Kluyveromyces lactis: one gene and its partners. The protein of the gene in region 1 purifies or fractionates together with the protein of each later gene. This does not show direct contact. Links are inferred from orthologs where the notes say so. Each region holds a gene or a part of one and is shown in the gene's direction. Other genes may lie near its edges. The genes, in order: RPN10, PRE7 and RPT2.

The links.
Region 2: the proteins of RPN10 (region 1) and PRE7 purify together in Saccharomyces cerevisiae (affinity purification with mass spectrometry, with the first as the bait; 3 studies listed by BioGRID). This does not show direct contact. The link is inferred for Kluyveromyces lactis from reciprocal best matches to the Saccharomyces cerevisiae genes RPN10 and PRE7.
Region 3: the proteins of RPN10 (region 1) and RPT2 purify together in Saccharomyces cerevisiae (affinity purification with mass spectrometry; 5 studies listed by BioGRID). This does not show direct contact. The link is inferred for Kluyveromyces lactis from reciprocal best matches to the Saccharomyces cerevisiae genes RPN10 and RPT2.

The regions. Positions count from the first base shown.
Region 1 is NC_006038.1:356,641-359,095, reverse strand, and holds RPN10 (proteasome regulatory particle base subunit RPN10), read left to right. Parts: upstream 1-1,040; coding exon 1,041-1,784; downstream 1,785-2,455. Other genes in the region: KLLA0_B03927g (uncharacterized protein), read right to left, coding at 310-558; GTPase-activating protein IML1, read left to right, coding at 2,225-2,455. UniProt on the Saccharomyces cerevisiae protein: Multiubiquitin binding protein.
Region 2 is NC_006041.1:502,311-504,406, reverse strand, and holds PRE7 (proteasome core particle subunit beta 6), read left to right. Parts: upstream 1-816; coding exon 817-1,539; downstream 1,540-2,096. Other genes in the region: KLLA0_E05655g (M20 family metallopeptidase), read left to right, coding at 1-548; ERD2 (Erd2p), read right to left, coding at 1,704-2,096. UniProt on the Saccharomyces cerevisiae protein: Non-catalytic component of the proteasome which degrades poly-ubiquitinated proteins in the cytoplasm and in the nucleus. It is essential for the regulated turnover of proteins and for the removal of misfolded proteins.
Region 3 is NC_006042.1:1,360,584-1,363,858, forward strand, and holds RPT2 (proteasome regulatory particle base subunit RPT2), read left to right. Parts: upstream 1-1,380; coding exon 1,381-2,685; downstream 2,686-3,275. Other genes in the region: RTG1 (Rtg1p), read right to left, coding at 433-1,053. UniProt on the Saccharomyces cerevisiae protein: The 26S proteasome is involved in the ATP-dependent degradation of ubiquitinated proteins. The regulatory (or ATPase) complex confers ATP dependency and substrate specificity to the 26S complex. Has ATPase activity.

The DNA.
Region 1 (2,455 bases):
TCAGATGTTTACCTGCTGACTGGTAAGATAACAGTGGATTACTCTTTCACAACAAAAAAAAAAAAAAAAAGAAAACCGTGGTGTTTGTGTATGGTAAGACTTCTTGACCAACAAAAAAACATCACGTGGGAAATCATTACACGTGACTATTAATCACCCGGAGCACTAATTGGATTTCTCGCCCACTTTAATATCACCACAGAATTGGGGGGAAACAGTCTTTCGATCTTAGGCATGGTCACGTGGGAGTTCGTTCTGAAGTCCCCGGCATCCGTTCTTCGATTTGGTTAAACGATTTTAAATGCACTTCTAAACATCACCAGCCCTTTCACGGTCCAGGGTTTCCTGGATAGTTCCATCCCTCAATTTAGCCTTCTCTTTCCACGTAGAAATCACAGATTCCAGCATCTCTTTGGTGTTACCTTTCACTCTCTCTATCTCATTCAGGGCCTCTTGCAGTTTCTCTTCCTGGCGAGTTATTAACGCACTTCGAATCTTCTCTCGTTGCTTTTCAGTAATATGCTGCCCGTTTTTGGAACCATCTTCGCCGGTACTCATCACTGTTTCTCTATTAGTCACTTCGGCGGATAAAATCTCAAGTGCTTGATCTTCATTATTTCACCTGTTTGTTTACTTATATAAAGATCCGAAACCTTAACTTTTGGTTTTGACAGAGAGTTTGCGAAGTTTCTGCCATAATACGGAGAACGACAGAAGGCCCTGCAGATTGATCTGCGTGAAGGGGAAGAAAAAGAGAGATTGGATTTTTATTACCCGGATTTATTAATCTAGTGGGTAATTTGGTTCAAAGTAAAGTTAGGTTAATATTTAATATAGAGAAAAGAAGTAGTTCCTAGCTACAGTTGCCACCAGGGAAAAGAAGGTTAACTAATGGATAATTAAGTTGCTGAACCCATTCTATATCAATTAAGATTGCGTACCGCTATTCTATTTTAAAGCGAGATAATTTTTTGTAGTCTTTGATTGAATTATTCTCTTATTTGGAATCATTTTAGAACAGATATATTAAGGAAAGAGAGATGGTTTTAGAAGCTACTGTATTGGTTGTTGATAACTCGGAATATGCCAGGAACGGTGACTTTCCAAGAACTCGATTTGTGGCACAAGTTGATGCCGTTGAGTATATTTTCCAGGCGAAAAGAAACAGTAATCCAGAGAACACTATAGGGTTGGTATCTGCTGCCGAGGCAAACCCAAAAGTTTTATCCACATTCACAAACGAATTCGGTAAGATCTTGAGCGGACTACATGATATCAATATTGGAGGGTCCATCCATTTTGCCACTGCCATACAGATTGCTGCATTGACTTTGAAACATAGACAAAATAGAGTACAGCGTCAAAGGATTATTATATTCGTTTGTAGTCCAATCACTGAGGATAGACAGGATTTGATTAAGATGGCAAAGAAGTTGAAGAAAAATAGCATTGCGGTTGATGTTATCAATTTCGGTGAAACTGATACGAACGCTGACCTATTGGAGGAATTCGTAGAAACGGTCAACAGTGGGCAAGAGGATAGTAAATCTACTCTTTTGAACATTGATGCAGGCCCCAAACTACTCTACGAGCATGTAGCAGCATCGCCTATTGTACTTGAAGGTCCTGCTGCTGAGGCTGGCTTCTCAATGGGAGGTAATGACGATTTTATGGACTTTGGTGTTGATCCATCCCTAGATCCTGAATTGGCAATGGCATTGCGCTTATCTATGCAAGAAGAACAGGAAAGACAGGAACGCATAAGACAAAACTCGACAGAGTAAGTCATTCCTTTAAACTTCCGCATTCTTAACAACCTCCGTCTCATATAGGTATCTATTCTGTATACTAATGACCCAGTAAATCGTCATAACATGGCCCTTTAACAACTCAACTTCTTAATATTGTACCCTCTCCCAATATCGAGAAAGCCAACTTCAGTTCATGGTTTACTGCAAGTTCTCATGGTATTAACTATTAAGCTTCGAACATGTCCATGTATGAACATTGTCCTATTCACGTGATATATATTTTGTACCCTTTCAACAATAATCTACGAAAAAACCAATAATTTGAAAAATATCAAGATGCAGACAAGACAAAACACATATGGATGAAGAAAACTCATCCACTCAACCTCATTGTACTTTTTTTCTCCAGTTTGCATTGTAGAAGCAGTGAAATTGATCAATTGTCAAGGATCCCTAGTCGTCTTCCTTAAGACATGCCTCCCGGGGAACTTATATTTTCTAACCTAAGGTCAGGATCAAGGCCTGTTCCAAGGGACAGGGATGCCCTGTCATCAGTGCAAAGCGATGCCATCAGCACCAAATCTTCTGCAAGGTATAACTTTCAAGGTACCGGTTCATCTGATGCAACTTCTGGTACGAATGTTACAATTAGAAATAATACTTTGAGTATCGGCGTCAGCTCTCAAATGCAAGGATCTGCGTTC
Region 2 (2,096 bases), on another chromosome or scaffold:
TCATTCACGGTGGTTTCAAATCAAATGCTCTCCCAGAAACTGTATCAGTGTTGATAAACTCAAGGATAGCTCTCGAATCTACTGTGAACGAGACTATGACAAAGTTTATTAACCAACTCAAAGAGATATCCAACGAAAATGACCTTGGTTTAGAATATAATGGCGATGAGCTAATTAAACCTACCGAACATGGAACTTTTTTTGTTGAAGTAGTTGTTGGAAAGGACCCAGCTCCACCCGCACCAAACAACGATGCATGGAAACACTTTGCCGGTACAGTAAAATCTTTCTACGAAGATATCGTTTTCCCAACCAAGTTGGAGGAAGATTCAACAGAACTTGTTATCGCCCCAACAATAATGAGTGGGAACACAGATTGCTTGCACTACCTATCCTTGACAGAAAACATCTACAGATTCCAACCTGGATTTGCCAGTAAAGATACCCTTGGTACTATTCACTCTGTCAACGAACATGTGGACTTCGAAACAGTGATGCATACCGTGGCATTCGTTTATCATTACATAAATGCTGTTCAATCGAACTGAATCCATACAATATAACTGTATAGTAGCACAATATCTATGGGTAATTTGCCTTACGTCAAATAATGATATGTTCAGCCATTACTATAACAGACAAATGAGGTCACGTGCTTTAGATTTCTCTTGTTTTAAGTGAACGTACTTTAATATAATAGCAGAAAATAAGTGATATGCTGAACCTTTGCCACCGTTTAAAACATCAGAGCCCAGTAAATTAGCAACCATCTCTAACACTAAACCTAGAAACTCAACAAGCACACCGTACAATAAAATGGCAACAACTGCTTCAGAATACGGAAACGAACTTTCCAAGGTGCCTATTCAACACCAATTTAACCCATATTCTGATAATGGTGGTACAATTCTTGGAATTGCAGGGGAAGACTTCGCCGTTTTAGCAGGAGATACCAGACACACGACAGATTATTCTATCAATTCAAGATATGAACCAAAGGTGTTCGAATGTGAAGACAACATTCTAATCAGTGCGAATGGGTTTGCAGCTGACGGTGAAGCTTTAGTGAAAAGGTTTAAAAACAGTCAAATGTGGTATCATTTCAATCACAACAAGAAGCTAACGATAAAGAGTGCGGCCAGGAATATCCAACATCTACTATACGGAAAGAGAATGTTCCCATATTATGTTCATACCATTATTGCTGGATTAGATGAAGAAGGTAAGGGGGCCGTATACTCTTTCGATCCAGTGGGCTCTTATGAAAGGGAACAGTGCAGGGCAGGTGGCTCTGCGGCCTCCTTAATCATGCCATTTTTGGATAACCAAGTGAATTTAAAGAACCAGTATGAGCCTGATTCTAATGGTACTAAACGCAAAGAAGTTAAATACTTAGGTGTGGAAGAAGTTATCAAATTAGTAAGAGATGCGTTCACATCTGCTACTGAGAGACATATCAACGTTGGTGATGGTCTAGAGATTTTGATTGTCACAAAGGATGGTGTAAGAAAAGAATACTTCGATTTAAAGAGAGATTAAGTTACACTCAATTTTTTTTACGAAATCTTTTTGATAAAGTTTCTGAATCTTAGTGTACAATATATATATATATATAGTAAAATATAAGATAGTGTTTTATTCGCTTCGATCAATCTGAAGAAAGCTTCCGAACTGACTGCAAGTGGAGATGCAAATCCTGTCATCTATTGTGGTAATTCTAAATCTCCACCGAGTTTGATAACCTTCTGATAATAGATGTAGAAGAAATCAGAGTACACTAAAGTTTGAATCACACCGGTGAAAACTGATAATTTATCGAATCTTTCTTCGGTATAATACCTCCATATCCAATTTGGAATGTACAAGGCACGGTATAACCCCAATGCAAAAATATAATGAGATGTCAATTGTTTTGCTTTACCTGTTTTAGTCAACATAAACAATTGAGGAAGGATTGCAACACTTTCCAACCATAGAGAGAAGGACCAGCATATTTGTATAAAACTGAAACGATAATTGAAAATTAATCCTAGGAGAATGCATGGTACTATTAAAAACTTGATTTTAAATTGATCTCTGGTGATCATGTCTTGATA
Region 3 (3,275 bases), on another chromosome or scaffold:
CTCTTAACAACAGAAACAGAAAACTGGCACTGACTCTACCCAGAACAATTCGCTTAAACTTTACGATATTAAAGTTAAAAAGAAAAGAATTATTGGCTTTAGTCTTCAAAGGAGAAGGAAAAAAGATAGACGGCGAAAGTGCACTTCAGAGAGAAACAACGCCTCTTCTACCACCTCTTGTACCTAGAATTCAACAATCAAGGATGCGCACGGATCCAAATGTCTGAAACTGTCGCCGGATAAGTCTGCTGGTCGTCACTACCCGGTATAATTAGGTGGTTGCCATGTTCTTTTCAAATATGTCTTCGGGGTTTTAGTTTGTTTCGTGTTTTCGCTTTAGAAAAAATTCGAAGCTGGACCATGTTTTCTTCGTCAGTTGTGATAGTATCACGTGACTTAATCATGACACGTGACTTGGTTCTTTATTGTATTTCAGGGTTCATTGTTGTATTCACTATAACCACCGTATTCGAATCTATACTTGGGTCCTTCTTTTGGCGCTGCTGCTGCTATACCTGCTGGACCAACCGAACCTGTTGGCGGCACAGGTGACATGGCAGCGGTGCCAGGGGTTTTACTAGTGGTATTTCCTGCGGCAGCATCAATGCTGGCTCCGGCACTGGTACCGGCAAATTGGTTTTTAGATCCTTTGTTGTTCGGTTGCTCCCTCATGCCAGCTAACGGACCAACGCCGATTCTGGACAACGCTAACTCCGCGCTTGTGTTATCAAGGTTCAAATCGTTGACAATGTACCCTGTTTCCTTGCACAATTCTTTAACTCTTAGTATCAGCTCGACTTCTTCTCTGTTCTTGAGATCGACTTGTTCCTGTAACGAATTCACGTATTCTACCGCCTGCGTTAGAATTTGTCCCTTTGTGGGCTTGTTAGCATTTGCACTGGTCCCCTTGGATTTAGAAACCGGTTCGTCTTTGATCTTAGGATCGCTGTTCTTTCTATAATACTCTTCGAAAAATTCTTCAGGAATAATACTCAAAAATTGTTGGATTAGTTCATTGATATTACCACGCTTGGCACCATCGTCATCATTCATGGTTAAAATTAGTAAGATAGAGACTTATACCGATGGTAAGATGCAGTATTGATGCTACTTTCCTTCACCTTTTTCTTGCCAACTCACAGCATTCAAACTGTTTTCATCTGTTATTATTTCATTTTATATCAAAAGTCAGGATTTGGAATAACTAAATATTAGAAAAGCCAGTGGCGAAATTAAAGATCAACCTTTACAAGATACACGCCTAACAGCACAACATTAGGTATATCAGCTTGTTACCGTCCAATTATCGAGTTGCATTGAGGCACGAACTATTAGCTGGCAGTAAGGCATCAAGGTATAAGTTAAGTTACAGCACGAACAATGGGTCAAGGAGCTTCTTCTCATGGGCAGAAGAAAAAGGATAAGAAACAAAAGCCAAAATATGAGCCACCAGTAGAATCAAAATTCGGTAGAAAGAAGAGAAAGGGGCCCTCTACGGTGGAGAAACTTCCTAGCGTTTATCCAAGCACAAGATGTAAGTTAAAACTTTTGAGAATGGAACGTATAAAAGATCATTTGCTATTGGAAGAAGAGTATGTGACAAACTCTGAGATCTTGAAACCATTTGAGAAGAAACAAGAGGAAGAAAAGAAGCAGCTAGACGATATCAGAGGTACTCCGTTATCTATTGGTACTTTAGAAGAAATTGTGGACGATGACCATGCTATAGTGACAAGCCCTACGACACCAGACTACTACGTTTCCATTTTGTCCTTTGTTGACAAAGAGCTATTAGAACCCGGCTGTTCTGTGTTATTACACCATAAGACCATGTCAGTTGTTGGTGTCTTGCAAGACGATGCCGATCCAATGGTTTCTGTGATGAAGATGGATAAATCACCAACAGAAAACTACAGTGATATCGGTGGATTAGAGGCACAAATTCAAGAGATTAAAGAAGCAGTCGAGTTGCCACTAACGCATCCTGAACTATACGAAGAAATGGGTATCAAACCACCAAAGGGTGTCATATTGTATGGTGCTCCAGGTACAGGTAAGACGTTATTGGCAAAGGCTGTGGCGAACCAGACTTCTGCTACATTTTTAAGAATTGTGGGATCCGAATTGATTCAGAAATATCTAGGTGACGGTCCAAGACTCTGTAGACAAATTTTCAAAGTCGCTGCAGAGAATGCGCCAAGTATAGTCTTTATCGATGAAATCGATGCTATTGGTACCAAGAGATATGAATCAAACAGTGGCGGTGAGAAAGAGATTCAAAGAACTATGTTGGAACTTTTAAACCAATTGGACGGGTTTGATGATAGAGGTGATGTGAAAGTCATCATGGCTACAAACAAAATCGAAAGTTTAGATCCAGCTTTGATCAGACCCGGAAGAATCGACCGTAAGATTTTGTTCGAAAACCCCGATATAACAACAAAGAGAAAAATCGTCGGTATTCATACATCTAAGATGAACTTAGCAGAGGACGTAGACCTAGATAATTTGGTCACTTCAAAAGATGACCTATCAGGTGCAGACATCAAAGCAATGTGTACAGAAGCGGGGCTTTTGGCTCTAAGAGAAAGAAGAATGCAAGTCACAGCACAAGATTTCAAGGAAGCAAAAGAACGTGTACTCAAAAATAAGGTTGAAGAAAACTTGGAAGGTTTGTACTTATAAGTAGGGATTAATCTTCATATATATATATATATATATATATATATATACTACAGTTTAATATCTTTAATATCTTCACATATCCAAATTCAATCTCCCTGCCGCCAACATTTATGCAATGATTTATCAATCTAAGTTTGTATTTTTAACCTTTTACACTTTCACAACTTTTCGGGCAGATAGAGGGAAACGATAAATATAGAAATTACGAAAAGTTGAACTTTAAATGTTTTAAAGATTGAAAGGACAACAGTATAATGAGATGAGTAGAAATAAACTGCAAACTAACAAGAGCCTTGCAGTATATACGAGGTGAAGAAACCTGTGACTTGTGATTGCGAGAGAAAGCACAATTAGTTATTGTCAATTTTTTTCCTTATCTCGTTTCTAACAACTGCATTATTGATTGGAATTTTTTTGATAAAAGTTCAATTAGTTCATATTTAAGGACTGACAAAACTTTGTGGTCTTTTCAAGGAGCTATATAACTGGATAAGTTCCATTATTGGTATTTGTGAGGGTTCAAGGCGTGTCAATTTTTTTCTGAGGTCACTGGACGTTAGTTTTATTCATTGAAGTCATTTAAAGAACCC